2 linked regions of the Caenorhabditis elegans genome follow. The protein of the gene in region 1 interacts with the protein of each later gene in a pairwise test. Each region holds a gene or a part of one and is shown in the gene's direction. Other genes may lie near its edges.

Region 1 (4,760 bases):
CGTGAGCACATCTTCTATTAAACAAAATTAGCACTAGGCTAGTTCTCTTCTAAAGTGAGAAATGAGAAGAAATGTGAGTTGTAGAGACGTGTATAATAAAATCCATAAAAATTAAAAATATTGTGAGTTCTTCTGAGATTACGTGAAGGCCGAATAAGAGGTGACGGTGATAATCACAAGAATTTAAAAATAATTTTTCCATAGAACGAATATATAATTGCGTAAATGGTCGTGGTTGCTCAGAATCTCGAGAGACTGTGGCAAATTGTCGAAGTTTTGGCATTTTGCCAAAATTTGGTAAATTGCCAAATCATCGAAAATGTATATTTTCAAAGTGATTTCGAGCAGTTTTGGAAACTTTTACTATAATATTTGAGCACTTGAGAAACCGATTTCAACTATTTCCATACCGTGGAAAAATTATGTTTTAAGTTTTGGCATTCTGCCAAAGTTTTGACATTTTGCCAAAATTTGGTAAATTGCCAATTAGTTCAAGGTGTGTACTTTTAAAGTGATTTTGAACAGTTTTGGAAACTATTACTGTGATATTTTAGCACTTTAGGAACTGATTTTAACTATTTCAATACTGTATAATAATTCTTTCGACAACATTCTCATCGGGCCACATGCGATCACGGAAGAATCTGAAATTAAAAGATAAATAGAAAACAATTTGAGATTATTAAATATTACCTCTCGGTGAGATCTGGAAAAGCTTGATCGTAGAGAGTCAAAATTTCCGGCACATTTTGTTCGTCAACCATGCGGGAAAAGTAGACCAGGTAGTCGGCGACCTCATTTGGAACTCCATCCTCATCGGCTGAAGCTGTTAAAAATTAAGAAATGAGATAAGTTTGTGTTGTTAACAAGCACCTAAATAACTACCATAAATATGTTTATAGAATTACTCTATTGATTGATTATCAATTTTTCTTTTGAAAAGATTTCACAATGCACGATCATTGATCCTCTGATACTCAACTTCTCTCTCGGGCTTTTAAATGATTAACTTCTTATGAACTCTTATGAACACCTTTTCATTTATTATTTCTTTCAAATGAATAAAGCTGTGATTCATTTAATCTGAGATTTGAGGATATTCGACACCGAAAAACACTGAAAATGACAAAAGTAGTCATTTTCATATACAATGAGGGAGTTCTGAGAATTGGCATTGATTCTTCACTGTAACAGTATTTGGAAAATTTGGTTTTTCTGAATTTTATGTATTTTGCTCATGGAATGTTAATCTGCAGTTTTTATGCAAAATTATTTCAGACCAAATTCTCCAAATGTCTGTTTGCCGAATTAAAATAAATCGGTTAATCAAAAAAGGACCGAGTCTTCAGTCTTTTCGAACTGTTTCAAATTTTAACATTTTTCAACTCATTTTACTCTTATTCATCAATTCTGAAAAATAGCATTCTGTGAACTTACAAGAAAAGGTGTTGGTGCGACGACGATCAGAGTGATCTTCAGTGGATAAATCGAATTCCACGCGTCGAGACATTACTGAAAGAAGGTTTTTATATTGATATTATTTAAATGTCAAACTAAATTCGAAAAGGTACGCTAAAATTAAGAGAAAACATTTTTTTAATTGTAAAATTTGATGAAAGGAATTGGAAAATGTGATGGAAAAAAGAAAATTGCAAGCGTTGCATGGGATTTCGCAAGAGTGCCGCACGGTTTTTTGTGTACGCATTTGCTCGTCATTCATGTTGTCTAGGCAGTTTTGATGACATTTTTTATTCTAAAAACAAAATGTTTTATTTCATTTGCTGTTTAATGTTTGAATATGTATGGAAACTAATTTGATACCCTTTCCGCTGCATTATTTTTGCAAAATCTCAAAATTATATATCTTCAATTCACTACCTAGAAGGCATATCTTCCTGCATTTAAAAATCTATTTTATTTCAGATATGGTACTTGAAGTCCCTCAAACTGAGCGTGTCAACGACGTTGATGTTTTTTTAAGCACGCAAGATGGTCAAATTCAGCGTCCAAAAGGGCCCAACTGTCGGCATCCTGTACGTCAAAAGTGCACTAATTGTTTGCCTGTTGATGTAAGTGATATTTTCTGTTGTTTTCATAGAAACTAATATCAATATTTACAGCCATTCGATGAAGAATATTTGAAAGAAAAAGATATCAAGCATATGAGCTTCCATGCACATGTTCGCAAGCTCCTTGGATCCCAGGGGAAGGGCACGACTCTCAAAAAACCGCTGGAAAACTTTCGATGTTCATTAAAACCCAACTGTGATGCTCACAAGCCGTTCCCGAAAGGAATTTGCACTAAATGCAAACCACAGGTTGTAACATTGAATCGTCAAAAGTTTCGTCATGTTGATAACATTCAAATTGAAAATCAAGAGCTTGTAAATCAGTTTTTGGATTATTGGAGACTATCGGGCCATCAGCGTGTTGGATTTTTAATTGGACAGTATCAGCCTCACCTTGAAGTTCCACTAGGAATCAAGGTAAGTTCAGTACTTCATCACTCATTTCTTGAGACGAGTTATTTCATTGCTCATACTTTCAGGCTACAGTGGCTGCAATTTATGAACCTCCACAACACTGCCGTGAAGATGGAATTGAGTTTTTGGAGGATAAAAATCAAAAAACTATTGACAATTTGCTGGAAATGCTTGGCTTGCAACGTGTTGGATGGATCTTCACAGATTGTTGGACAGCTAATAGTGCTGAAGGAACTGTACATTATACACGGCACAAGGTGAGAACAATCTCGAAGAGAAGCCCAAAAAACGAATAATTTTTCAGGATTCCTTCTTCCTATCAGCTGAGGAATGCATCACCGCAGCAATGCTTCAAAATCAACATCCAAACATCACAGAGTACTCGATGGATCGTCACTATGGATCCAAATTTGTGACCGTTGTTGCATCTGGTGATGAATCGATGCATGTTAATTTCCACGGATATCAAGTTTCAAATCAATGTGCGGCCATGGTTGAAGCTGATATTCTCTGTCCAACACTGTACACTCCTGAATTGGCTTATGTTCGAGAGACACCATTATCCGAAGAACATTATATAACTGATGTTCAATTTTCGATGAAAAATGAATACGGAGCCGAGGTTATGAAAAACGGACGACCACTTCCAGTTGAATATTTGCTGGTGGATGTTCCTGCTGGAATGCCAAAAGAGCCTCACTACACGTTCCACGTTGGCACATCTAATAAATCGAAGAGTGCCAAATTTAATGTTGAAAATCGACAAGCAATTGGACAACTTCAAGGAGGTGCAAATTTGATTCAATATTCATCCGAATTCTCTAAAAATCAATTTTTGGAACAGGCTACAAACTTCCACTTTTTGCTCTATTTAGTAACCAATGACCAAGTGCAGATTTCTGATGAATGGATGAAACGATTGTGTGATGCAGTTAAAGCTCAGGACAGAGGAACTGCAATGGAATGGGCTCAGGAATGTGAAGATTGGCATCAGTTGATGGCTTTAGCGCATGCTAATGGAGGAAGCGGCAATGACGGTAAGCTATTATTTTAGTGTGATTAACAACAATTTTGAAAATGATTGCTTCTCCGATTTTACAAAGAATATTTTAATCGATTTCTCATAGTTTCAGATATTCCTGTCATTCCAAATGGTGATCCTTTCTCCGGATCAAGCAGTGGTGGATCAGGAGGAGCTGTGTGGAACTGTGGACACTGTACATTCCAAAATGAAGCAGCAAGACAGGATTGCTCGATGTGTGGATTGCCAGCTGCCGATTAAAAATTCATTTTTCTGCTTTTCTACTAGTGTATTTCTACTGGTATGCTCTGTAAAGTCACCCACAAATGAATTCTTTTCTCCATATTTTTCATGAAGACAAATTAAGAATTAATTCTAAAACAAAAGCAAAGCTTCAGGAGAAATTGAAAAAACGTTAAATACAATTTATGAAATGTTTTCCATTCGTAGAAAGCTATCCATTTTCCATTTTCAATCTTTTTGAATTATCCAGTCTCGTTCGAAGTGCGCATTCAAAATTGTGACGTCTGGCCAACTCACCAGAGATCAGAAAGTATGATTTTGTTTCAAACTTTGAAGTTTTGTATTCTTTATTTTTAAAAACAAAATTTCAAAAGACAAATCTGAACAATTTTTTCTAGAAAGTTGAATTCATTAAAAGTGCAAAGAACAGAGTGGGCGTGGCCAAACGAGACTCCGAATTCCGCTTAGCAGTTTGCAGTGTGATTTCAGTTTCGATCGAAGTTTTGCAGCTTTTTATTCTGAAAATGGATTTTTCTTAAATAAGTGAATTAGTAAATCCAAATTATCCGAAAAATAACGATATTTGTATTCGAACAATATAAGAATTCGAACAAACGATAGTGCTATAGTTTTTTTTTCAAAAATGGTAAAAACTCGGTAAATGTCTCTCAATAAATGTTTTTACTGTCGATAAAATGTTTTTGAAACGTGTTATTATGATGTTTGTTCACTTTTGCATATATGCCTATAGGAGTGGTTTTTAACCATTCCGGCGCTACTCAACCTTTAATATTATGAATACGAAAGCTGTTTTTCAGTTTGTTCTTGATCTGATCAATACGGAAATTTTTAGTTTAAAAGTTCCAAAATTTGGAGAATTGGGCTTTTCGAAAAACTTAGAGATCCTTGCTAAAATAGTTAAAACTTGAAATTAAAATATAAACACATAGAAAATACTGTTTTCCCGGTCTACTTCCAAAAGTATTATTGGGAAAACTGAGTATTGCTCGTCA
Region 2 (4,953 bases), on another chromosome or scaffold:
TGAAAAAATGTAACTGTACAAAAAGCTTATCATTGTACAAATTTTTAAAACAATTTAGCGTACGCCACTCGGAGCGCGCGCTTTGTGTTTCCAAACGGCTGGTAGAAAAATATTTTCATTTTCAGAAATTTTATGACAATTCACCATTCTCTCTTTGCGGTTCTGTTGTTGTGATTCTCTCGAAACGAAACCCAAATGAGAATAATATTTCCAATCTAGTAGCCAAAATTCGATCGCATCATGGAATGGTTCATGTAATTTCATCAAATACTCCATCAGGTGGATCCCAACCACTCACCCTCTATGACCTCTCATTTAAAACAAATGGACTAGCCGATTTTCGAAATGATGATCAATTCAACGATGTAAGATTTCAGAGGTCGCTCCTCACTCTTAATTAATTTCAGTCTCAAATTCGTTTTTTTGGGCTATTTTGGCCTGTAGCCATTTATTCGGTGAATCCTGTAGTGTCCGGAAAAGGCTCCATTGTACTGCCTTCACTGTTCCACACTAAACCCAACGGGACATTCTTTGCCGGGGTCGACTTTGCAGTAACTGTACAGAACCATGGTACAAATTTTGATATGATTATCATAACTTGTTAATATTACAAATTGAGGTCCCATTGATACATTCCAATCATTTTACCTTTCTTGGTACAATGCTTCATCATCTACCAATGGTGGTTTTTATGGATATCCAGGATCCCCATCCAATGAGGTAACGTTTCCTACATGTACTCATACGATACCGTTTTTTGAGGTTACTACCTTTGAAAGTAATAACCTCACGATTAGAGACTAAATGATTAAAGGATTAAAGGTCGATCCGTTTTTCAAGCGTTGTGCACTGATTTTTTTGGTTTTTTGAGACCAAAAAAACCAAAAAATAAATTGCAACACTGATTCAGCAAAAAATTAAACAAATGAGAACAAAAAACCTTGTTCAATCGTTCGTGTGTTCAATTTTTAATATTTCATGAAAAATTCCTGTTTTGTCCCGTTTGATATCAAACCGTGAAATTTTTTTTGTTTTTTGTTTTTTTTAGTTTTTTTTTGTTGGTTTTTTTGAAAATTTCGATTTTTTGTTTCTTGTTTTTTGGTCCAAAGTTCGACCAAAAATTTTTTTGTTTTCTGGTCGAAGTTTGTTTTTGTAATACCTGGTGGTGATCCTACTGGGCGGTAATTTAAGCCACACCCAAGCTGGGGACTGTGGCCGTTTTATAACTTCAGTAACTGTTTGATAAGACAATAAATTTCGAGAGCAGGCTCCAGTAATCCTATGCCTCACTAACAGGGAATATACGTTAGCTATTTCAGAAAAATAGCACAATTCGAGCAGGCTATGGAAACCTCGATGCTGCTATCTACAACATGAAACTTGAGTACTCATATTCTGACAATACGCCAATCAAACTCCAAATTAGACAATACGCTGCGATGTAAGATAATGTTAGTGCTAGTTCATCAGAAAAATAACTTTTTTCAGCGATATTGACTACTGGCCACCATATGCTGACTAAATGCCAAGTTTTGCAATTCATTTGAATAAACATTTGAACATTCCAATAGCTTACACATTTCAACAGATAACACTTCAAAAGTTTTTTAGTCTGGGAGATTGATAAAAATTTGTTTCAAAGTAATTTTGCAGAAATTAAAATTCTGCCACACTATCCTGTATGGAAGAATTTACATGTCGATGTGCATTCTTCTAGTTGATAACTTTGAGACTCAGCGAACGCTTGACAAGTTATCACTGCTTGTTCAAGTACTGATTTCGAGCTCCAAATTTATTGTGCTGGTTGCCAGGAGCCACTGGTTTCAGGTTTCATGCTGCAAAGTCATCTTCAGTGTTTCACTGAAGATCCACAAAACGAATATATAGTTTGGCTGCTTAACCATTGAAAATCTATTAGTTTTTGTTCAGTACCGAAAATTCAGATCGGTGAATTCGAGAAAGTTTTGGAAGAGCTGCGGGATGTTTTTGTTCATAGTTTCTAGAAAATTTGGAGCCACGGGGTAAATAAATAAATTTTTAAATAAATTAGATAAGTTCAAACGTGAATATGAACTTTCTGCCCTTTCTGCCCTATCCCTTTTCCCCACGTATTCAATTTTCGAAACAACAAATAAAATCAATACTCCCTTCGATTGAAATTCATTCATTTTCGACTAGTGAACAACGATCTGATATGTGAGTTTTCTTATATCTGTCAGTGTTCCCCAAAAAACCCGCAAAATTTTTTCAGAAAATGAACAAACAACCGGGACAGCAACCATTGAGATCGCTTAGCTTGACGTCTGCGGCCAAGTCACCTGAGGAGGTTGAGCCGGAGCAGGATTCGAAGAAAGGAGAGCCACGTGCCAAGGCTGCAGGATTCGGAGGAGGTGGAGGTGGTGGAAAGAGACTCCCAGAGGCAAGATCTACGCCAATGGTCATTCCGAACCAGGTAGCAGCGATGCCGGTTCAGATGACTGTAAGTCATTCTAGCTAATAGTGATCGTTTTAACTTTTGACTTTTCAGGGCTTCGTCCAACTTGTCGCCAACAACATTCTCAGCGCCATTGCCCATACCAACTCTGTGATGGTTGTCCAATGCATCAAACCCCTCGAGATCTTCACCGGATTCGAAACTCCGAATCGCTACGTGGTCCATGACATGTACTGCCGCCCGCTGCTTTATTGTATGGAAAGATCGAACATCTTCGCTCGTCAGTACGAAGGAAACGATCGTAACTTCGGAATGCAGATCATGGATACCCACGGAGCTCAGGTGATGACGTGCTTCAGAGGAAGACCATGCTGCTCGACCGATGATTTTCTGAGCACCCAGTTCCTCGATCAGCAGATTGGGATGATGAAGAAGGAGTGCTGCAATCCTAATGTGAGTGCTAGTATCAAGTAAAACTACAGTAATCCAGAGCCCTGAAGCATTCTTTGGAAAAATCACATTTTTCTCAAAAGAGATCTTTTCGCTGATCTGAGTTTGCATCAATCTTGATCGAGCTTAGAGCCAGGGCTGTGCGGCAAATTTTGAAACTTGCAGTGCTCGGCAAACGGCAAATTTGCCGCACACCCCTGATGCCCTATCTATAGTCCGATCTATAATATATCTGTAACTTGGCACATAGCAACCTAGAGTCTTTCCGCTTTGCTCTGCCGCCCAGCCGCAAGACATTGATACACAAAAGAGAGCAAAGCGGAAGGACTGTAGGTTGCAATGTGCCAAGTTTGTACTGACATAGATATAGACTATAGGTTACTAGACTGTCCAAATGTCTTTCAGTATTAAGATGTTTATCTAGAAAGCCTATTACTTGGTACATAGACGTACAGGTTTCACGCCTTTGCTCTGCCGCCCAGCGGCTAGGCATTGACACACTAAAAGAGAGAAACACAGAGCAAGGCGGAAGGACCGTACGTCACCAATGTACCAAGTTACAGATATAAATTGCACTATACAATTGCACTATACGTAGATCTATAGATCTATATCTATATACCGCTGAACGGCAACATCGGGACTAGCATGACACCTTGTACAAGGGCAAACTCGGCAAATTTGCCGAGCTCAACTAACTCCGAAAAATTTGATGTTTTTTGAAGCACCAAAACTACTGAATTTTTAACGCGGCAAATTCGCCAAATTCGCCAAACTTGCCGCACACCCCTGATCAGAGCAATCGTTCCTATAGGCTGAAGCTTTATTAGCTCTTCACCTGAATCTCCCATCCTCCTTGAGACACATCCTATTAACCTTTTCTTTCAGTTCGAGCTCGTCGGATCCGGCTGCAACCAGCCCCTGCTCATCCAATCTCCAGGTTGTGCAGGCTGTGGTGGCACCCAGAAGTTCCCAGTGATGACCTTCAATGGTGTGCTCGTCGGAGAAATTGTCCGCCTCTACCCGGGATTCATGCAGGAGATGTTCACCGATGCGGACACCTATATTGTTCATTGTAAGCATTTTATTCTAAGCTTCTGATCTTTTCTATCTTAATTTTGGAATATTTCAGTCCCAATGGACATGCCGCCAATCTTGAAGCTTCTGCTTGTCACCTCGGTTTTCCTGATCGACTTCACCTACTTCGAGGATCGTAACCAGGATCAACATCGTAACGGCGGAATGCATAGCGGAATGCATAGCAGCTTCTAAACTTATAAAGGATCCTGTTCACAAATTCACTTGCAAACTAGAATAAACTAGTTTTTTCTGGCTTCTTCTTACTATACCTACTAGCTGATAATTTCTCAGCAAAAGATTGCGTTTTCTGGGCACAAATGACTTGTTAAAATTGCGATAACTAATACACGTGCAGCAGACAACAATTCCGCAGATAATTTCCTATTTTTTTCCAACAGAAATTTAAATCTGACGTGAAGTTCCACATAGTACAATCAGATCAGATTTTCAAAATTAATTTATTTCCGACTTGTGACCAACACTTTTCTATGTGAGTTTTCTTATTTCTCTTGGTTTTCCCTCAAAACCCGCATAATTTTTTCAGAAAATGAATATTCAACCGGGACAGCTACCATTGAAAGCAATTAGCTTAACGTCCGCGGTGAAGTCACCTGAGGAGGTTGAGCAGGATTCAAAGAAGGATGAGCCACGTGCCGAGGGAGCGGGGTTCGGTAGAAGAAACAATGCTGGAACGAAGCTGCCAGCGGCGAGATCGACGCCAATGAAAATTCCGAATCAGGTGGCAGCGATGCCGGTTCAGATGACTGTAAGTCATTCTAGCTAATGGTGACCGCTCTAAATTCTGACTTTTCAGGGCTTCGTTCAGCTTGCCAGCAACAACATCCTCAGCGCAATCGCCCATACCAACTCTCTGATGGTTGTCCAATGCATCGAACCGCTCGAGATCTTCACCGGATTCGAGACTCCAAATCGCTATGTGGTCCACGACATGTACTGTCGTCCGCTGCTTTATTGTATGGAAAGATCAA

What was found. The genes of interacting proteins can lie anywhere in the genome.
Region 2: the proteins of npl-4.1 (region 1) and scrm-5 interact in a two-hybrid assay, tested with the Caenorhabditis elegans proteins (one large-scale study listed by BioGRID).

Annotation. Positions count from the first base shown.
Region 1 is NC_003280.10:5,629,434-5,634,193, forward strand, and holds npl-4.1 (Nuclear protein localization protein 4 homolog 1), read left to right. Parts: upstream 1-1,917; 5' UTR 1,918-1,925; coding exon 1,926-2,069; intron 2,070-2,120; coding exon 2,121-2,486; intron 2,487-2,548; coding exon 2,549-2,740; intron 2,741-2,787; coding exon 2,788-3,520; intron 3,521-3,610; coding exon 3,611-3,765; 3' UTR 3,766-3,851; downstream 3,852-4,760. Other genes in the region: F59E12.6 (ubiquitinyl hydrolase 1), read right to left, coding at 1-11. UniProt on the Caenorhabditis elegans protein: In association with ufd-1 and ATPase cdc-48.1 and/or cdc-48.2, involved in the cytoplasmic elimination of misfolded proteins exported from the ER.
Region 2 is NC_003282.8:4,160,268-4,165,220, forward strand, and holds scrm-5 (Phospholipid scramblase), read left to right. Parts: upstream 1-2,153; 5' UTR 2,154-2,196; intron 2,197-2,251; 5' UTR 2,252-2,254; coding exon 2,255-2,479; intron 2,480-2,527; coding exon 2,528-2,887; intron 2,888-3,772; coding exon 3,773-3,959; intron 3,960-4,016; coding exon 4,017-4,156; 3' UTR 4,157-4,213; downstream 4,214-4,953. Other genes in the region: scrm-8 (Phospholipid scramblase), read left to right, coding at 4,512-4,730, 4,779-4,953.